Linked DNA regions of Canis lupus familiaris. The protein of the gene in region 2 interacts with the protein of the main gene of each other region in a pairwise test. Links are inferred from orthologs where the notes say so. Each region holds a gene or a part of one and is shown on either strand. Other genes may lie near its edges.

Region 1 (7,290 bases), on a different chromosome or scaffold from region 2:
AAAGGATCATACATGTGTCATTAGCAAGCAAGAGGTACTGAGGTGATCACACAGTGTTAGGGTGGAAGCCAGTGTATGGGTCTTCATCATGTTAAGTGGACAGCATGCCTGTTCAAGAGATCACATGTCCTACATCCAGGAGCTAATTGTGCAAGAAGTTAAGTGTTGAACTTTAAAAATAAGACCACTTGTTGAAATCCTGCTTACTCTGTGGCTTTCCTTATTCCTCTTAATGCTTAGAGAAGAATGTGACCTGAAGAAGAAACACACAGGGGTGTGCACAAAGAAAGACACGAATCTTTATTTTTCACTGCCAGCTTCAAGGAAAGAAAATGTTTCTACAATTTGCATGAGGGATTTTTTTTAACTGTATGTACTCACAGTTATAAACTGAAATGTACTGTATCATACAGAGAAAAGGAACAAAAACCCAAGGCCAGCTTTCCCACAGCTACACCTTCCATCCCAAGGCTTTCAGCAACATGTCCCTCCTGGGAGCCAAGGAGGCAGCCTGCACAGGCTTGTAAATGGTTCATCTTTAAAATGTATATAAGTGGGACATTTAATAAAATGAGGGGAAATGGATTTATAAACAATGTGGTTTTTTTTTTTTTCTAGGTAATCCTATTTTAGTAGGCTTTCACAGACTGGGACATGCTCAAGATGTGATGGGCCTGGTGGTACAGGTGTGACACTTGTTACGCCTGTTTCTCCTCACCTCCATTTTTTGGTTTTTTAACTCCCAGCACACTATAATATAGTGAACTGGAGTGATCCTGCCCATAAACAGCTTGGCCAGCTTCGTGAACCCATGGCATCTGAAAAGTGAACTGAGGATCTATCTTCTCTTGGGCTTCTCTTCCCCAGCTTTTTGCCTGATGCCATTTTGACATTAAAATGGACTTCGAAGTCAACCCTTTGCCTTTGAGAAAGTTCAAGAACTATGGTCAACTATCTACAATGACCTAACCTTCTCTTTGGTAGTCTCCACAGCAGCCCCAGCCTCAGCAGAGCTGGGTTCCTGGCCTCTGCATACTGTGACTTTCTTGATGGGTAGTTTTTTTAAGACTATATAACACCAACAGTGGATCAGCTGGGTTTTGGCCAGGAAGTTACATTTGTGGATTCTGCCTGCATGGCTTAGTAGTAGAAGGAAATTTTTTTTGTTTTGTTTTTTTTATAATTCAGTTTAATCAATAAAGTATTTATTGACTACTTTCTGTGTTGAGACTGAGTATGTGGAAGACAAATAGAAAACTAAGTTTCCTTTGACTTACTAGTTTGTTATAACATGGGATGATAAAATGCAGGGATATTTCAGTCTCCCCCTCCACTCTCTCACCTCATTGAACTTCTGCAAGTTTGAGTTTGCTACCTATGCTAGTTTCTCAAAGCATTCGAGAGAGGATATGCATCAGAATCACCTAGGGGGTTCATTTATTTATTTAAAAGATTTATTCAGGAGACAGAGAGAGGCAGAGACCTAGGTAGAGGGAGAAGTAGGCTCCCTGCGAGGAGCTCGATATGGGACCAGATTCCAGGACCCAGGGATCACAACCTGAGCCGGAGGCAGACGCTCAACCAGTGAGCCACCCAAGTGCCCTGGGTGTTCATTTTTTAAATTCAGGTTTAACACCATTTTGGGAGAATTTGGCTAACACTCCAAATGATTTGATTTATGGCTAAAAGGACTTTTAAATGAACACATAATACTTTAAAGAGGTCTTCTGATAGATTTGGACAATAAACATTTAAATTAAATGAAATTACTTTGTATTTCCTCTATTGAAGGTGAGGAGGTAACATGGGTGAGGTATTAAAGCTGTCAGGCCAGTCCTGCTTGGGAATAACTTTACCCAGAGCAGCTTTACTAGATGCTACATTTCTCTCTTTGAAATGGTGTTTTAACTAAAATATTTGCAGCCAACATACCAGAAAATCAGTAAGAATCTAGCACATGGGTGGCAATGTTTAAGAAAAACGTTAAGTACTTTTGTTATCCCACAAAGATTAGGCCTGGCATCTATACAAAGCTGTTATTTTAGTATAGGCCCAAATGAAGATGGTAGTGGATCCTCCTGTACTGTCATTCAGAGAATCCTGTATTTGCTCGAAGAATCGAGAGCCAAAGCAGGGTTATCTGACCAGGGAGGGAGATGGCACATGGCAGTACTTCACACCTGCACTCTTGGTATGACCTAGTCAGACAATAAAACCACTCAGCAAGCATTTCAAAGAATTTATTTTACAGTAGAAAAGTAGACCTTTGAACCAGCCAAGTTCAAAGTTAGAAGAAGGGCACAACTTCAATTCTGGATAATGCATCTGAATTTCATTCAAAACCACTAAAAAGAAAGAGCATTTAAAAACTGTGAAGCAGAGGGGGAGGAATTAATTCCCAAAAGCAACTCTATCCTCCAACCAAAACCCTCTCCGTCCAAAGAATCCTTTTAAGACCTCCAGAAAAATGCAGCTTAGTGCAAGCCAAGGGGCCTCCCAACTGTTCTACCACTTATTTTTCCTTCTGTAACTTTAATTTCAGTCACCTGATCATGTGAGCAATCTCCCAGTTGGTCTCTGCAGAGAGTGGTCCCTCTATTTCAACACCTTTTTCGGTGACTGTGGCAATTTGAAACTGAAAGAAAGCAGAACTCCCAATGAACATGCCCACCCCACATAAAGTCCCTGAGGCCTGCTCAAAGGTCAAGGAGAGGATCTTCCCCTAATCTGAAAATAGGAAATTCTGCAATCTGTTCTTCAAAAGCAAAGACCCAGGTACTGAAACTATGGACAGCTCGCTAGTTAAGAGTCCTATCCTCTATTATTCATGTCCTTCCTCACCCGGTTATAGGAGCGGGCATCTCGATAATAAAGCACTCGCATGCAGCGTTCCACTAGCTCTCGGGCCTCAGTCTGGCTCAGGACTGGCTGCTTCTCCAGAACTTCTCGCAGCAGAGGCTAGGGAAATGGGAAGAACACGGGAGATTACCAGGGGTTGAATACCCATCTGTCCCAAATTCACAAAGTAAAAAGCAGCATAAAATGACATTCTGCCTACTGCCTCACCAGAATGAATTCTGCTTACTTGTGCTAACACCAACCTGAAGGGTAAATTGTAGGGCATTTCTCTCTGCACATGTCTACTGAATCTGACACACCACTTTATCAACAGAATGTAAGTGCCAACACATACAGCTTTCAGACTACAAAGAAAACTATCTGCCAGCAGGAGGGATCTTAGTCTATCTTCACATTGGAATTTTAAGAGAAGAACCAAGGAGACGAGCCCCCACTGCCTCCCCCACACCTCTCCCGCACGTACCTGAGCCAAGTATGCACCATAACCAGTGGCCAGCGAAGGGGCTTCATAAGCTACACCAAGCATGTCCACATAACCGAGGAAGCTAACAGGACACAACAGGTCAAAGAACTAATTTCATCTTAGGTTTTCTTGGGTATCTTAGCAGAAGGATGGGGCCATGGGGTCTGAGAAGTGACATTCTCTTAGGGAGAAGAGACAAGACACTACATAGACACTAGAGGTTAGATAGTCGGGGAAATTAAGTTATTTCAAGTCAACCTCTCTCCATCAGCGTAGCCTCCAATGACCATGGTGTTCCACAGGGGGTTCATCTTGGAGCGACGGCTGTACATGGCTCTGGTCAGCCATGAATGAATAGCTCTAGGGCTATAGCTGTGTCCATCTCCCAACAGCTCCTCATCAATCCTTAAAAGGAGTAAGTCATGAGAAAAAAGGAGAGAATGGAAGTCGGGAATTCCATCCACCCTCACCCCAAAGAAGTTACCACAATCTTCCTCATTTTACACTGCCTAACGCCAAAAACTATGTGCTGCACACACTATCATCTTCCACCCTCAGCAATTCTCCTGTCCTCCGCTACAGCCTCAAATTCCCCCACCCCAGAACTTCTAAGGGGATATTTAAAAACAATACAGTGAATTCCTCTCCCCACTTGGGATCTACTCCCTAATCTCCAGATAACTTACACCATCTGGCCGAGAACTTGCTTCAAATACTGGAAATCTGCATAGTCTCCGGAAGCACCCAGCATGGTGCTGTCGTTGACTCGCATAATGCGAGAGATGTTGCGGAAACGAGCCAAGGAGCCATAGGAGCCCAGCATGTCTGCTGCAATCACCACTCCACCCTCGAATTTGACACCCAAGACCGAGGTCCCGGTCACCATGGGGTTCCTAGACAGAGGGAGGGAGATGAGGGGAGGCACGGGAGAAGGGCCTGAGCCCTCTTCCGCGCAGTGGTTCCGCGTCTGATTTTCCATCTCCCCTTCCATTCTCCGGGACTCCGCGCCGTGGTCCCCGCCGTTCGCGGGCCTTGGGGCGCCTTCCCCGGCTGCCTCCGAACCGTCCGGCTCGACCAGGCCTCAGCGTCCCGCCTCCTGCGCAGCTCGGACGCCAAGAACTTACTGCGTGCGCGTAACCGGACCCCCGTAAGGAGAAAACGCCGGCTCCACGGAGGCGACGGAACTAGGCGGGATGTGGTAAAACTGCCCCGGGGCGGGACCACCGGCCCAAACTCTGGACCGCGACTCCAGAAAGGCTTCCATCTTAGTCACGGTGGCTGAAGAAATGACGGCGCTTGCGCCAACGGAAGCGGAAGTGAGCCTTGGGGTCCACAACTTCTTCCGGCCAGCTGTTCCCAGCAGCCATGTTGATGAGGTTACGGCTGGCGGTGCGATCCTCGAAGTCCGCCGCAGCCGCAGAGCCCCAGACAGCTGGAATTGCCTGACGTCGCGGCATACCGCCTCGTCGCATCGGAGCCTGAACTAGATCAGAGTGCTCTGAACGCACAAATTCAATGAAGGGGAGATTGGTTGGGAGGTAGGTATGGCGAGACACTGAGGAGGCAGAAATTCTCGTGTTCTGCTTTGGATCTTGGTCAAAAGCCCCCACCCACCCCCACCCAAGAAACTAGCAGTCAGCTGTGATCTCTTACGTCTGTACTCCCCAAAACAGCCTTGTAAAAGGCATTATCCGACCCATTTTATAAGTAAGTCTTGTGGCGTAGTGACTTGCCTGGCCACACAGCAAGTAAAGGTAGATCTGAGTCCTCAAGCGCAGAATAAGAAAAGGATTCATCCAGGTGTGCATACCCTGGGGGAGCACTCACTCTATGGGATTGGACAGATGTCTGAAAGTTTCCGTACAGTCAAATGCTTTTGCCCCCGCCCCCACCCCCCCTAAGCAGCGGAAAAACTCCATGGACCATGGGCTTGAAACGAAATTCCAGGAGTCCCTTCCCAGTGTGGTTCTGTATCCGGAGGTGGAAGCAGTGTCTACAATCAGACTGGTGAATCCGAAACCACTACTTTGCCACGTCTCCCCGCACAACTTGAATTCAAATTTTTTACTCAGTGGGAAACCAAATCAAATTTTGTTTTTAAAATTCCTTAAGTGGGGCTCAGTCTGTTGAGTCTGGGACTCTAGATTTTGGCTCATCTCACCGTGCTGAGACCCAGTCCCGCTTGGGCTCTGAGCTCTCTTCTCAGGGGGAGTCTGCTGCTCTCCCTCCCTCTACCCTTCCCCCTGCTTGTGATCTCTCTCTCTCTTTCTTTCAAATAAATAAATCCTTAAAAATGAAATAAAATTCTGAGTTAATTTGAACCAAAGCAATGCATGAAGGTTTAATTATGTAAAAAAAATATTTTACTAGGTCATGAAACCCTGGAAAAAGGAAGGTTCAAGATCTTGTGTTAGAGGCACCCAACTGACACCCTTTGTATCACCTTTTTTTTTTTTTTAAGATTTTATTTATGATAGAGAGAGAGAGAGAGGCAGAGTCACAGGCAGAGGGCGAGGCAGGCTCCATGCCTGGAGCCCCACGCGGGACGCGGGACTCGATCCCGGGACTACAGGATCGTGCCCTGGGCCAAAGGCAGGTACTAAACCGCTGAGCCACCCAGGGATCCCCCTGTATCACCTTTTGATCTTGACAAATATACTTTCCTCTCTAATAAATAGCCACCTCCTCTCCCCAAACCCATTATTCCAGGTGACTCTTGGGCCACTCAGTTTTACTTGGACAAATAGTAGGCACTTAATGGGATGGTGGTTTACTGGGATTCCTTGAAAACTACATGAAATACCTTATCATTTGTAGCTGCCAGAGCCCTCATAATTTGATCAGATCAATTAATCAGCAATTAACTGACTATGTCCCTGTTTAGAAGTGACCACCTGGCTTGCTGGTTCTTGGTCTCACTCATTTGTAGGTCCCCGGAATAAGGATCTTGTAGGGCCTGTACCAGTTCCAGAAGTCAGGCAGGTCTAAATGAAGAAAAAATGAAAGGACCTAAAATCATCCAGCCTGAGTGAAGAATGGCTCTGAAACCAACAATTGATGATGCAATACTCAACAACAGGTGGCCAGCATGTCTTCTGCTTTGAGGTATAAATAAGGCATAAATTAAACTGAAACAAGTGAAATTAGGAAATTTCCTTCTTCTCTTTTTAAAGCAGTCTGGTATAATTTTGGGGGGAGGGAATCCTTTAAGAGAGGGAGGAAGAGGAGAAGAGAGAGGGAGAAAATTTTAAGCAAGTTCCATGCCCAGCATGGAGCCAAGACACGGGACTTGATCTCACAACCCTGAGATCATGACCCAAGGCTAAATCAAGAATCAGGTGTTCCCCTTTGGAAAATCTTTTTTATTTTATTATTTTTTTAAAGATTTTATTTATTTATTCATGAGAGACACAGAGAGAGAGGCAGGGACACAAGCAGAGGGAGAAGCAGGCTCCATGCAGGGAGCCTGCGCTAGGACTCAATCCTGGGACTCCAGGATCATGCCCTGGGTGGAAGGTGGCGCTAAACCACTGGACCACCTGGGCTGCCCAGAAAATCTTTTTTAAATGTGCCTAATTTTCTATGGTTGGCTGTTACTTTGAATTTAATTAACATTGTGCTCCCACCAAAGTTAAAGTTGTTGTTTTTTTAAAGATTTTACTTATTTATTCATGAGAGACACACACACAGAGAGGCAGAGACACAGGCTGAGGAAGAAGCAGGCTCCATGCAGGAAGACCGATGTGGGACTTGATCTCAGGAATCCAGGATCATGCCCTGAGCCGAAGGCAGATGCTCAACCGCTGAGCCACCCAGGCATCCCCAAAGTTAAAGTTTTTAGGTCAGCAATCCCCAGGATGGTTTTGAAACATGTCGGGATATCCTTGGGTATAGGGGATATCCTGAAATTCTCAGAAAAGAAATAAAACTAGACTAAATTGGAAAATAATAACCACCATCACCCCACC
Region 2 (5,882 bases):
TGTATGGTTTAAAACAATCCATGCCAGAATCATAATGTGTTATTTTTTGAAAGTTGGCAAATATGTTCTGATATGTTACCTGGGAGAACAAACGAGTGAAAATAGCTCCATTTTTTAATGGAGAAGTAAAGGAAAAACTCTTGATGTTAGGCTAATTAAATTATAAAACTACAGTTAAATCAGGGTGTAGACAAATGGCAAAATAAATTAAACTCAAACTATATTGTATTTCAAAATGAATGTATATTAAGTGAAGCATAACAAACCAGCAGTCTCCTAGTGGTCCTGCAGGAACGACATTAGCTTCTAAGTGAGGCTGTCGGGAGAAACCCTGACCTCAGTATCATATATGCAAATAGATTAATGAACTGAGGTTTTTTTTTAATGGCAAGCTATTAAGAAACTAGAAGAAAATACATTTGATCATAGAAGTAGAAATTTTTAAGCATAAAAAGCAATAGGAAAGATCATGAGATTTGACTACTGAAAGCTTTCAAACTTCTATAGATTAAAAAAAATACAAAGGACTAATGGGGAAACAAATAGGAAATAAATTATTTATATCTTACACACAGCTCATAAAAAAGTAATAAAAATACTAGAACCCCAGTGGGATAAATAGGTAAGAAATATGAACAGTAAGTTTGTAAGAGAAACACAGATGGCTAATAAAAATATGAGAGCATATCCAGTCTCACATGCAAATTAAAACAATACTGTTTTTCAGCTATAATTTATTTTAATTTATTTGTTTTTGTCTTAAGCTCACTCAGTCCTGGCATAGGCAAAATGAGAAAGGCATTCATACACTGCTTGTAGGGTGTAAATTGATACAAGCATTCTGGAAAGTCGTTTGGCAAAGTGAATCAGGAGCCTTCGATCCAGTGATTTAACTTCCAGGAATCTCTCCTAAGGATATTATCAAAAATTATCCAGAGATATTTATCCTGGCATTGGTATAACAGCAGAAAATGGGTATCAACACTATGATCCAATAATAGCAGAATGGCTAACGTAAATTGTTGTGTCCTTATAATCCCATCGATACTTTGAATGTTTGCAGAGAAAGTTTAACACTCAAAACCTGTAATCTAGTGCATCCAGCACTTACAGTTACTACCTTTACATTACTAAACAAGGGATAGTATTTGCTGCTTCATATTTTGTTTTACTTTCTAAATGTTCAAAAATGCAAATTCCTCATTTTTATTATCGGGGAAAAGAGTTAAACAGACACGCTCACTCTCTCTCTCTTAAATTGCTTTCTCTACATCAGGCAGGAAAATGGGCTTCTGCTCTAGCAGCTATTTAATCATTACGGAAGTCTTAGCCATTGTGTGTACATGTAAACACAACACATAATTTTTTAGATTGGATTGGAGACCATAGTTTTCACATTGGCTGAACCATGCTAGAGTTACCTGCAAGATAGATTGTTTAAAGCCATATGGGATGTGACTGTGTTCACTGCGTGGCCTATAATAATCTGCCATTAATGGTGTAGGACTTTGTCAGAATGCCCCCCACCGCCCCCACTTTCCTTTTTTTAAAGGCTGGGTAGGATCGATTTCCTACACTCCTGGCACTCTAAGATGTCACAGGAAGAAGTTTGGAGCAGATGGTAGTTCGGAGAGATCAGATTCCACATAGTATGAATTATTTTTATAATTTTCTTTTCCCCTCGACCTTACATCTTACAGCTCTTAGCACTACTTCCTCCACCTGTGGTTTTCTAGTTTTTTTACTTTTCTTGATCCTCCTTTGTTATATTATTTCCTAGAAACCTCTTAAATATACAAAATAACAAAGGGATATTGTATGAACTAATACAATTAACTAAGATTTTATCAGTTGTGCAAGATTTGGAGAATGTCTAGTTAGCCAAATTTTAGATCCATGCAGATTCATATATTGAAGTTACACAGATGCTTTTCAGCTGTGAAAAATGATAATGAAGACATTGCATGCATTGTCTTCCTACAGGAGTACATCTTTACTATGTTGGAGGGGAGGTGTACGCCGAATGCCTCAGTGACAGCAGTATCTTTGTGCAAAGTCGGAACTGCAACTACCATCATGGATTTCACCCCACTACTGTTTGCAAGATCCCCAGTGGGTGTAGTTTGAAAATTTTTAATAACCAAGAATTCGCTCAGTTATTGGCACAGTCTGTGAACCATGGCTTCGAGACAGTCTATGAGCTCACTAAAATGTGCACTATCCGCATGAGCTTTGTAAAGGTAAGTGAATTCTGATTCCTCTGGTCAGGGTTTGACACACTTGCTGCGCCTTCTCTTAGTTGTATATAAATCTGTATCTTCTTGGTATGTGCCCATAGAAGCCAACTTATTACCTAGACGTTTTTAAACTTTAGTGAGGATGTCAGTTACCAGGAGAATATAATTAGAATATAGGAGAGTTTGTATTACATGTTAGCAGCATAGGCGGCTTGACTAACTGTCCTATTTGAATAAGCACTATTTTAGTCATTGTAGTACCATAAAAGAATGTCTTGTTATACATTTAACTTGTATAATTTAAATGCATGGTTTTCTTAAGAGATCAATTCAGTAAACACACCCCCCTTCCTTTTCTTTTTATTCTGTGTTCTTAATACCTTTATGATGGTAATGATTGTTGCTTTAGTTTTGACAATGAACAAGTAATCTTTTTGTAAATAAAAATTCGTAACACTGGGTTTTTTGTTGTTTTTTTTTTCCCACTGGGGTTTATTTTTGATTGGTCAGACTTTTTTTAATGGTTGTGGCAAAAACTCACGATTTTCTTATAATTCAAAAATTAATAAGACCTTTGCCCACAAATGCCTTAGTTCTAAGATTATTGTTAGGGTTGAGAATGGGGAAGGTTAAAGACATTGTTCACGGTTAAGTGATCTCTTTTATGCATTTGCCTCTGAAAAATAAAAAGTTTTAAGATGTCATTGAAATGTAAAAACATTAAATATCTGGTTAGATTTTATGAGTTGTAACTTATTCTAATGACTGACTTGTCTCTGAATTCTCAAAGATAAATTTTCATCCTCTGTTACCTTGAGAAACAGAACTAATTATATATTTGGGTGAGGCAATCACCTTTTATGTCCTCTCTTTAGAAGCTCACCTAACTTGTTGTTAAACCTGTTTGTAATGTATGTGTTACAGAGGGTAATTTTGGAAACTTACTTTGTTAATCATCCTTTAGATCAAAGATACCTTTCCCTGAGTATCATTGTTTTCTTACTTCTTTGAATCATAGTAGCAGATTTTGACTGTGTTCTCTGAATGTTGGCTTTCTCAAAACATAATTCAGTAGTTCTTTGTGGCTGAGTCTGGTGCCTTTTTAGTATTAAAGGAGGGTTTTTACCTTTTAAAGGGATTTACCAATATGCTATGTACCTATGGGACTATAAAGATCTTTCTCAGCCACAGTTAACATTCACTGTTTCGTTTTTGACTTTGCGTTTTAGCTAAAATGAATTTTAAAATGAGGACAGTCACTTGCCAGCAGTGCTTTTTGTCTGTTGTTTACTGGTATGGAGGAAAGAATACCTGTTGAGAGTCAAGAGACCCAGGTTCTAGTTTTATCTGCCATTTTAACTGTGCGGTTAAGGCACAGGGATCCTTTGCTGATCCTCATGATTGTCATCTTTAAGACCGGTAGGTGGAGTTTGGGAACTGTGGTAATCATTACAAAGGTCCCTTGGTGAGTCTACTACTATTGAAGAACCACTCAAGAGGAAATTAATGACTCTACTGCTCCAACTGGCTTTCTCCTCATGCTCATTTCATATTGATTACCTAATTTTAATGGTTTTACTTTTATACATTTTAAAATATTTTTACACAAGTACAAACTTTACACTAATAAAAAGTGTTTATGATATAAAGATCTGCATTAACAATGTATTAGATTTCATTTATTAAGCAAATATTTTTAGCACCATTCCAGAGAATTAACGCAAAGATGTAAAAGCACCTAACGTCTCTAGGATCACAATGATAGTAGCCTATTACATGTTTAACTATAAAATAATGAGATGGAATGGAAGGTTATGGACATATAATAAATCATATATAATAAAGATATAATGGACATAGTTGGGAAGCTGGATTTGGAGAGTTATGGGTAAACAAATTTCGTTTTAAAACTCCTGCTGACATGATAAAGGGCAGCTGCTTATACATTTGCAACAACAACAACAAAATTCAATAGTGTTTGTGCAGTATTGTTCTTTATTATGATAAGGGTTGCATACCTTGCCCTGTCACTTAGCATCTTAGAGAAATGATACAGCACATTTTACTAATATTAATAGCCAATCTTGTGCTATTTTGAAGACCATCATTTTGGACTTTAAAGCATTCATTTTATAAATTATTTGCACAATGAACTCCCCATATATATCTGAAAAGTCCAAGTCAATTCAGCTGAACAGGTATTTCTTAGGGCTTCTGCTTTGTGCCAGTCACTGTGCTAGGTGTTTGAGATCAAAGATAAATAAGATCTGGTCTTCCCTGTCTTCAAAGAACTTACTATCTAATGTAGGAAACATGCACACAAACCTTTAAATTTAGCAATGTATTGATATAAGTACAAATGCATAGATGTATATCGGTATGCAGTTCATATATCACAACTTTTTCTTGAAGGTTCTGATGTTCATATGTATTTCTTGAAATTCCTGGAGTAGGTAGGTGTCAGAGATAAATAGAATCCAACCTTCTCTAACATCCCTCACGAAACAAGGATTTATCAGAGCTTTATTTTCCATTGCCCACACCAGTGAGTTTTTGATCTTTGCAATTGCAAAATTAGCTTTCTCTTTTGCAATTTTAGTGTACCAATTCAGTAATGCTGAAGATGTCTGGATGTATAGATCTATTATATACATATACATCCGTGTATACAATATGTAATGGAATCTATTGATTCAGAGCAATGATTAGGTGTCAATTATAGCTTTTTGGGTATGTATGTGCTTCTGCCAGTTTGCTTGGAGATAGAAAGATCAAAAGCACTTGTGTTGATAGGAGGACCACCAGTGAGTGAGTAGGCAAGAAGCAGAATGTCTGTTTGCCTAACAGTAACTTCTGTCTTATTTTCTTGATGGTAAAATGAGAATTTAATATGTTACAGTACCATCAGTAAGGTAGTGGGCAATGAAAATGAAAGTTAGAAAGTGCCTTCATTAAAACAGCCTTATAATGTGTTTTGAAACTTCCATTCCCCAAGACCAGTACTCTTGACCTGGAATCTATGTAAGGACTTCAGGGAGCCTTGAACACACCCATCCCCTGAAATTGCCTGCCTCTTACGTGTGTTTGTGTGCACAAGCACCTGTCATGGAAAGCATCCATGTCTTTAATCAGCATGTCTGATTATGAGAACTCTTCTTATAAGTTTAATCACGGAGTTAAGCAAGTGAAATGACCTCCAATGTGTCTTCTAGGGTTGGGGAGCCGAATACCACCGCCAGGATGTTACTAGCACCCCCTGCTGGATTGAGATCCACCTGCATGGCCCCCTCCAGTGGCTGGATAAAGTTCTTACTCAGATGGGTTCACCTCACAATCCTATTTCATCTGTGTCTTAAACGGCCTCAGGCTTCTGCCTCTTGAAAACTATTGAGCCTTGCATGTACTTGAAGGATGGAATCAGACACGATTGAGAACTGACAAAGGAGCCTTGATAATACTTGACCTCTGTGACCAACTGTTGGATTCAGAAATAAAAAAGCCTTGGTAACATACTGTCGATATCAAGAACCTGTTTAGTTTACATTGTAACGTTCTATGGTAAAATCAACTAAAATGCATACTTTCAGCAGGACTTCGTATATAGTTAAAGGAGAGATGGCCAAGCCAGGGACAAATTATCTATTG
Region 3 (7,295 bases), on a different chromosome or scaffold from region 2:
CTCACTCAGAACCACAGCCCCCTCGTCCAGCCTCACAAAGCTCCAGAGCTACAGGAAGGAGGAAGGGAGGCAGCCGCATCCCTCCCACTGCCCCCCAGCTAGGGCTGGACAGAGTGGGCTGGCTGGCATGTGGCTGGCGTGGAGCTCTCCATGCACAGAGGGGCCCCTTGGCTGAGCAAGACAGGATGCTGGGTCAGCAGGGAGGGAGGGAGTGAACCACACGGCAGAGAGCCCGGTGGGTGGGGGCACGGAGGGGCTGTGACCTCTGCCACATTACAGAGAAAACCAACTCACAACCAGGGCCAGAGGCTGGTGTGCAGCGGGGGCTCGGCAAAGACGTGGGAGGTTGAAATGGAGATGGGGATGAGGGCTACAGGGAGACAGCAGGACCCACGGTGCCGACACATGCTCGGGGCACCTCCAGGACTGCCGGAGGGAACCTTCATGAGGGTGGGGTGCTCTGCTTGCTCCCTGCCATGTCCCCGGGGTGGGCGTCCCCAGGGAGGGCTTCCATGGGCATCCACCTGGCAGGTTCTCAAGGCAAAGAAGACAAGAATGATGACAAAAGGGGTCTCCAGGACCACACAGGGACCCCATCAAATCCAAGGGGGGCCAAGAAGCCCTCTTACTAGACTTGCCATCTGGAGCCCTGGAGGCGCAGGCAGCTGTGGCTGGTGGGAGCACATGAGGCCGAGGCCAGGCTGACGCCCACCCACCCCACCACTACCACAGATGCCGGAGAAAGACCAGGGGCCCATCCATGTGCAGCACACCATCAACCTTGGGAGTCAGAGAATTTCTCTATGGCAGACAGGAACCACAGGGCCCTGGCATTGTCTCCTACACTCCTGGCGGTGTCCCACCTCTTGGGAGCACAGCTAGCCATTCCCTAACCAGCTGGCCCATGGTGACCAGACTGCACCCCACTGGCCAAGGTTACTCCGAAGGCCGCCTACCAGGAAACAAGCCTTTTGCAGGAGGAAGGGAGATCAGATCCAACTTCCAGCCCCTCTGCCACAGGGAGTTAGAGCACACAAGCCAGCATCCCCAGTGGCCCCCAGAGATGCCTCCCTCCGATGGTCCAGGCCTGGCCCACAACACAGAGCTGTTCTGTGTGACTGATAGAGTGTGGCAGTTAGGCCACTTCCAAGCTGAGGTCATGGAGACGACTTCTAGCTGCTTCTGGCTTCTCCCTGTTCTACATCATTCACTCTCAAGTGCGCACACTAACTCTCCCACACCATCACTGGTTCCAAAGGAAGCAAGCCATCATTCCACGCTGTCACGATGCTCAAGCAGTCTATGGAACCCACATGGCAAGAAGTGGGGTCTCTGCTGACAGCCAGCAAGAAACCAAGACCTGCCAGCAAGCATGGGAGTGGGTGGCCCCCAGCCCTAGTCGGGCCTTCAGATGAGACCTGATGAGTGACCGTGTATCAGGTTGTATCAGGACCACTCCACTAAGTCACTCCCAAGTTCTAACCCTCACAAGCTGAGAGCAGATGAGTGCCTGTGGTGCTAAGCTACTGAGATTCAGGGTACTCATGAGACGACTCACCAGGTTGCTGATAGATCCAGAGGAGGCTCTTGTGCTTCCTGGGAAGGAAAGCCCTCCCACCCCCACCCCTTGGCCCTCACTGCTTCCCAGGAGACACTCTGGGTCAGTGACTGTGGCTGCCCAGAGGCACTGCGAGAGTGCAGGTCGGGGCCCCCCACCCCCAGGTGGTGGCAGACTCACCCAGCTCTGTAGGCTTCAGCAATTCATCCAGCATGTTAAAGAAGGGAAGCTTCACCAGACGCACTTCCGGCTTGAGGGTCTTGGTGGGCAAGCGTCCAAGTCCATTCAAGTACTTCCCATAGAGCACGGGGTAGTCAATGTTGGGGCCCGAGAGGGGAGTCCTGGGCACCGTGCCAGCCCGATCGTAGGTTGAGTGCATGGTCAGGGGGTCCAGGGGCCGGTGGGGCTGGGGGACAGGCTCTGAGCTCTTCTTGGCGTAGCGCGTTTCGTACAGCTCCTTGATTTTCTTGAACAGCTCGGGGCTACAGTCAAACTGGACCAGCTGGAGGGCCCGGGTGACAAGTTCGTGTTTAAGTCCGCTCTTACTCCGGCCAACAAAACCCAGGAGCATCTGAAGATCGGAGACTCGGAAACTCATCACCATGTTCTGGGGAAGAGCAACCACAGATACACACGCTCAGAGGAGACACAGCCAGATTCGGGGACTGCCAATGGGGCAAGGGGCTTCGTGGAGCCACCTGGGCCCTAAACGGGGGGGACAGCGAAAGGAGAGCCCATCAGGTGCTGCCTGGCCCTCCCTCCAGACCCCCTTCACTCTGGTGGGCAGGAGCAGGAGCCCAGGAGGAGGAGGAGGCGTAGGCACCAGGCCCACCAGCCCAGGCTCAGTCCCACTTCCATGACCTTGCTCACGCTGCCCGCTCACCCTTCCCTATGATGCCCCCTCCCAGCTTAACCCTGCTCCCCTCCACCTCTTCCTCCTCAAACCTTCCTCAGCACTGCCAACGCAGCAAAAGCTTCTGACCGCCCCCCCAACACACACCGCTGCCTTCTATTTTAAGTTCTCTTTTCCCATCTTCAAGCCTGAAAGCATCCCCAGGGCAGGAACTGGGAATCTTCCTTTACCCGTAAACAGCCTCAGCCACTCCCTAGCCAAGAACACTAATGGCCTCTGTGACCCTCAGTCTCTTCGTCAGGATGACAGGACCCACTTCGTTGGGATGTGGGAAGGACCAGATGAGGTAACATACGGAAAGCAGAGAAAATCAACGTTGGCCACAAACACATTTTCCCTTCAGTCTGGAGTATGGTAGCCACGACTTAATACCAATCACTCGCCAGGAACTGAGCTGCACATGTGATCATATACTCAACGCTGATTCTTATGACAATCCTGCTGGGCTGTGGGGAGCTCCACATGACAGCCAAGATTCAAACCTAGGCCTGACTCCAAAGCCAGGGGTAATTTCTCTCTATTGCACTAGGGGTGTCCACATGGGGCTGAGCACTGGTGAACATCAAACGTCTGCTGATCATTCCAGAAGGCCTTCTCTGCCTCGACCCTGTGGACGTTGGGACTGGATTGTTCTCTGGGGCGGGGCCATCCTGGGCACTGTTGGGTACTCAGCAGCATCCCTGACCTCCACCCACTCGATGCCAGGAACTCTCCCCAAGCTCCCGTGGTGATAATGACAAAGGTCCCCCAGACACTGCCAAGTGTGCCCTGGGAACAGTTTCGGCCCATTTAGAACCACGGGTCTGAGGAGAAGGCTTTGGGAATACAGCAGCCACGGAGGCTGTGAGCTGTGGCAAAGTGATGAAAGAGGTCTAGCAGAGTCTGGCACTTACTACCTGGCAGGGTCCCTCCGACTAAATCAAACCAAACACGAGAGCTCAGCTGACGCTGATGTTTTCTTTGGGGCGGCCTGACCATAGCCTGGCCTCGGGGAGACTCTGGGACGCCAAGGGGACTGACACTCCGCAATATGCTACATAAGCAAAGTATCCTTGAAGGATGGATAGGCCGGCAGGGTTTCAGGGCCACCCACACTGAGCCCCAAAGCTGGCCTGCAATGAATGAAATGTGGTGGGGAAAAAGAAACTTCCAGGGGAATGGGGAAAACAGGTACAAGTGATGAAGGTGTATATGGGAAGCTGGCGGGCACAGGGCAGGACAGCACCCAAGGAAACCAATGAAGCCCTTAAATTCAACTTGAGAGTCTGACAGTTAGAGGTGGGTGGGAACCCTGCCAGGGTGTTTACGTAGCAGTCTCACTGCCAGAAGGCTCTGGTGTTTCCCGTTTCCTGGCTGTTGAAGGGTGAGGCGTGTAGTCTGAGGGCAGCACCAGGACTCAGGAGCTCTGGGTTCCTAGGCAACCCCAGGTCCTCTGTAGGGTCCCTCTGCACTTTGGGCATCTCATCTACCCATGCAAGATGTGAGCCCTCTAAGATTTCGGCAGCCGTCCACCAGGTTCCTGCTGATAGCAGAGAGGCTGTCAAGGCACAAAATGACAGATACACACATGTGGGGCTGCCCATCCTGCCTGCAAAATCTCAAGGGGGAGCCTTTTCCCGCTGCAGGGCCTTCCTCCTATTCCCACACTACAGATGTGGAGCATCCGCCACACACCAAGCACAAGGGCTCTTTGCGGCCACGAATCTCACAAGGGTCCACGCCCACCAGGCAGGTTAGAAAACCGAGGCCCCGTGAAAAACGTGGCTGGCCCAGAGCCTCCCCACGTGTCAGTGGCAGGAGCCATCAGAGTCCCAAGGGCACTTCCTTCCACTCCCACCCAGCTATCTGGGGGCCTGGGGACCCCTCACATCCCAGCACACCTCCTGCCTTGGGACTTAAGCAATCTGTAGGCTCTCAGAGAGCCCAGAATGCTTACAAAAACACAAAGACTTCACCTTCCTTGGCCTGACTTCCTACCTTGAGCAGAGAAAATAGGCTTGCAGACAAGATGTTTCTTCTGGAAGAGGCCCAAGGCCTTGGAGGGGAGAGGAGACGTCATGTGGAAGCTGAGTGCCCTCCACGGAGCTAAAGGCAGGTGGGCTCGGTGTGCCGAGTCTGACCACAACACATCTTCTACCATCACCCCGCCCCTGGGAGCACCCTGCCCCCGCCATGGCCCAGCCCTTTCACCAGGTTGGACATCCGGAGCTGCCGCACAAGCATCCTGGGGCACATCCCTCAAGCTGCCATATGTTCACGACTCGGATTTCTCAGCAGCTGCCACCACCAAGGAGCCTGCCCTTGACACTGGGAGGGGGGACAGTGTGAGAGGGGCACAAACATTCAGGAAGAAGCCCCAAGCACTTTGCAAATCACTTCCTGCCATGGCTTCATCCTACCCGCCTGCCCCTCAGATCTGTGTTTATAAACAGCACCAGGCCCCCACGGCTTCCAGAGTCTCAACTCTGGGCTTGTTTGGAGCTATGTGGAAAAACATCAGCCTGGATAGAGCTGCCGCGCTTAACTTAACCCGTCTCGGGTATAGGTTCCTCTGAATGTGGCGGAAAGTTAAGGTCCTTATCGCCAGGAAATGGGAGATCTGTGCAAAATGCTCCCATCTCAAGGGGTTCCCAGACTGCCTCTTCTCCCCAAGCCCTCACAGGGGCCTCAGGCAAAGGCGGATTTCCAAGTTTACCAACAAGCCCCTGTCATTCTCCCTGAGGACCAGCCTGTTTTGAACTCCAAAAGACAAAATCTCCAGCCCCTGTTACTACAAAAGGCTAGGTAAGCACCTAAAAGAAGAGAACACTTCAACGACACCTAAGACACTCCACAGTGGCAGCCACAGACTAAAGAAAGGCGCCCGAGGCTCGGAGCGAGCTGTGTCACTGAACAGAGGCTCACGTTCTAGAGAACTTGAAAAAAGGGTCAACTTGATTTAATTGGGGTGGGGGCCCCAGCCACCGGAGGGTCAAGTAGAGTTCATGAGATCATATTTCAAGGCCCTGGATGGTATAAAAGAATTCAGTCCCTACCGTCTGGCTGGGACTGGGACCGGGTGGGGGGTGGGGTACACCCAGAGTCACAGCCCTATGGGACGGCTTTATTTGAGGGCTCCGGGGGTCCTCAAGCCCACTGGCTGCTACCTTGGGCATGCAGAGTTCAGACTTCCACATCTCCAGGGCAAGTCCCAATTTCTCAAAACCCTACAGAAGGGCAGAGTGTAGTACAGGCATTGAGGGGGACGCTCCAGGGGGAAGGGAACTGCATTTCAGATCTCCGCAGGAAGAGAAGGGAGATGGAGGGAGAGAGAGGAACAGGAGAAAGAAAACATTTACAGGTCAGGACCTGGGGAGGGAAGATCAGTGGGAGGGGAAAAGGCGGAGCCTCTGTCCAGGAAAGGTCCGGTCTCCCACCTCCCGGCCACCAAAGGCCTGGAGTAAACTTCTCAGGGAGGAAGGGAACAACCCCACTGTAGTGTGGGGCAAGGTACCTGGAAGACAGTACCCCTGGAACAGAAATGGCCTCTATGGGATGTGGAACCTGGACCCCAAAATGGAGCATGAGGGAGAAGCACTAGAAGCACTAAAGAGAGAGGGTGGAGAAGCACTCTCCATGAACCAACACAAGAAACCAGCAGAAGGGAAGAGGCAGCCTCAGAAGCCAGAGTTGGGGCGTATAAAGGGATCTAAAGTAGGTTCTGGGGAGCTGCGTAGACACAGTACCACCTCAGTAGAAGCACTTGGGAGTATAAAGGAAACAGCCGGCACAGGGTCTAATTCTGTTAGCGTGAAGTTGAGAGACCCCAGGAGCAGAGTCCAAAATCTCACAAACGCTGTCCCGAGAGTAAAAACGGGGAGCAAGGCAGAGCCCAGGACCCAAGACCGAGGAGACGGGCACGGAGGAAGGCTCTGAACAGGGAACAGGGGCAGGGCTCCATCCCAGGCGGGAGAGCAAACTCGAGAGACCCGGTGCCCACTCCGAGGGCGAGCGAGACGGTGTCGGGAGGGGGGCGGGGCTCCGGGACCAACGCGGGAGCCGAAGCAGGGGGGCGACCTCCAGCCCGGGGTACAAACCCCCAAGCGGACGCGGCGTCTGGGGGGTGCTTCGGGACCCCGGCCCGTCACCCCGGGCGCGGGAAGCGGCGGCACAAGGGGCACGGGGCCCTTCTGAGCAGGGAGTCGCCAAGCCCGGCCGGCCTGCTGGGCAGGGAGGCTGAGACCCAGGGGCCGACCCTCGCTGCCACGGGGGGCGGCGAGGCGAACACGCTCCCCCAGGCCAAAGAGCAGGAGCCCGGCTCGGGGCGCGGAGGGGACGAGCAGCCCAGCCCGTCAGGCTGTCCGGGAGGCGCGGCCCTGCGCCCAGGCTCCGGGAGACTCGCCCCCAACCCCTCGGGCGGGCGGGGGGGCGACCCCGCCTCACGCCCGGGAACCAACCCCCAGCGCGGAGGCTGGGGTAAGGTTTGGGGGGCCCCGCCCCCGGCCTCCCCGCCCCCCGCCCGCACCCGGCGCGCCAGGGCCAGGGGCGGGCGAGGGGGCCGGGCGGCGAACCGCAAGCGGGCCGCGCCGCGGGGCCCCGGGCGGAAGGCGCAGACCTCCGCCCGCCGCCCGGCCCCCGCCCCTTCTCCCGCCCGCCCGGGCCGGCGCCGCCGCCGCTCACTCACTTTGGCCTCCACCAGCTCCGCCGCCATCTTGGCCACCAGCGTCCCCCGCGCCGGGAGCCCCCAGCCGTCGCGTCACGTGACCGCCCGCCACTCGCGGGCGGGGCCGCGGCGGCGGCCAATTAGCACCGCGCGCCCTCCTGCCCCCCCCCGGCGCGCGCTGC

Evidence for each region.
Region 1: the proteins of SMAD1 (region 2) and PSMB4 interact in binary tests that used the Homo sapiens proteins (3 or more experiments, as listed by UniProt). The link is inferred for Canis lupus familiaris from reciprocal best matches to the Homo sapiens genes SMAD1 and PSMB4.
Region 3: the proteins of SMAD1 (region 2) and PIAS4 interact in a two-hybrid assay, tested with the Homo sapiens proteins (2 studies listed by BioGRID and IntAct). The link is inferred for Canis lupus familiaris from reciprocal best matches to the Homo sapiens genes SMAD1 and PIAS4.

What each region holds. Positions count from the first base shown.
Region 1 is NC_049238.1:61,116,964-61,124,253, reverse strand, and holds PSMB4 (proteasome subunit beta type-4), read right to left. Parts: upstream 4,619-7,290; 5' UTR 4,587-4,618; coding exon 4,447-4,586; intron 4,216-4,446; coding exon 4,009-4,215; intron 3,728-4,008; coding exon 3,581-3,727; intron 3,405-3,580; coding exon 3,323-3,404; intron 2,959-3,322; coding exon 2,842-2,958; intron 2,636-2,841; coding exon 2,547-2,635; intron 2,346-2,546; coding exon 2,333-2,345; 3' UTR 2,225-2,332; downstream 1-2,224. UniProt on the Homo sapiens protein: Non-catalytic component of the 20S core proteasome complex involved in the proteolytic degradation of most intracellular proteins. This complex plays numerous essential roles within the cell by associating with different regulatory particles.
Region 2 is NC_049236.1:44,457,702-44,463,583, forward strand, and holds part of SMAD1 (mothers against decapentaplegic homolog 1), read left to right. Parts: intron 1-1,983; coding exon 1,984-2,240; intron 2,241-5,449; coding exon 5,450-5,593; 3' UTR 5,594-5,882. UniProt on the Homo sapiens protein: Transcriptional modulator that plays a role in various cellular processes, including embryonic development, cell differentiation, and tissue homeostasis.
Region 3 is NC_049241.1:55,942,919-55,950,213, forward strand, and holds the start of PIAS4 (E3 SUMO-protein ligase PIAS4), read right to left. Parts: upstream 4,722-7,295; 5' UTR 4,707-4,721; coding exon 4,662-4,706; intron 2,264-4,661; exon of another isoform or gene 2,166-2,263; coding exon 1,739-2,165; intron 1-1,738.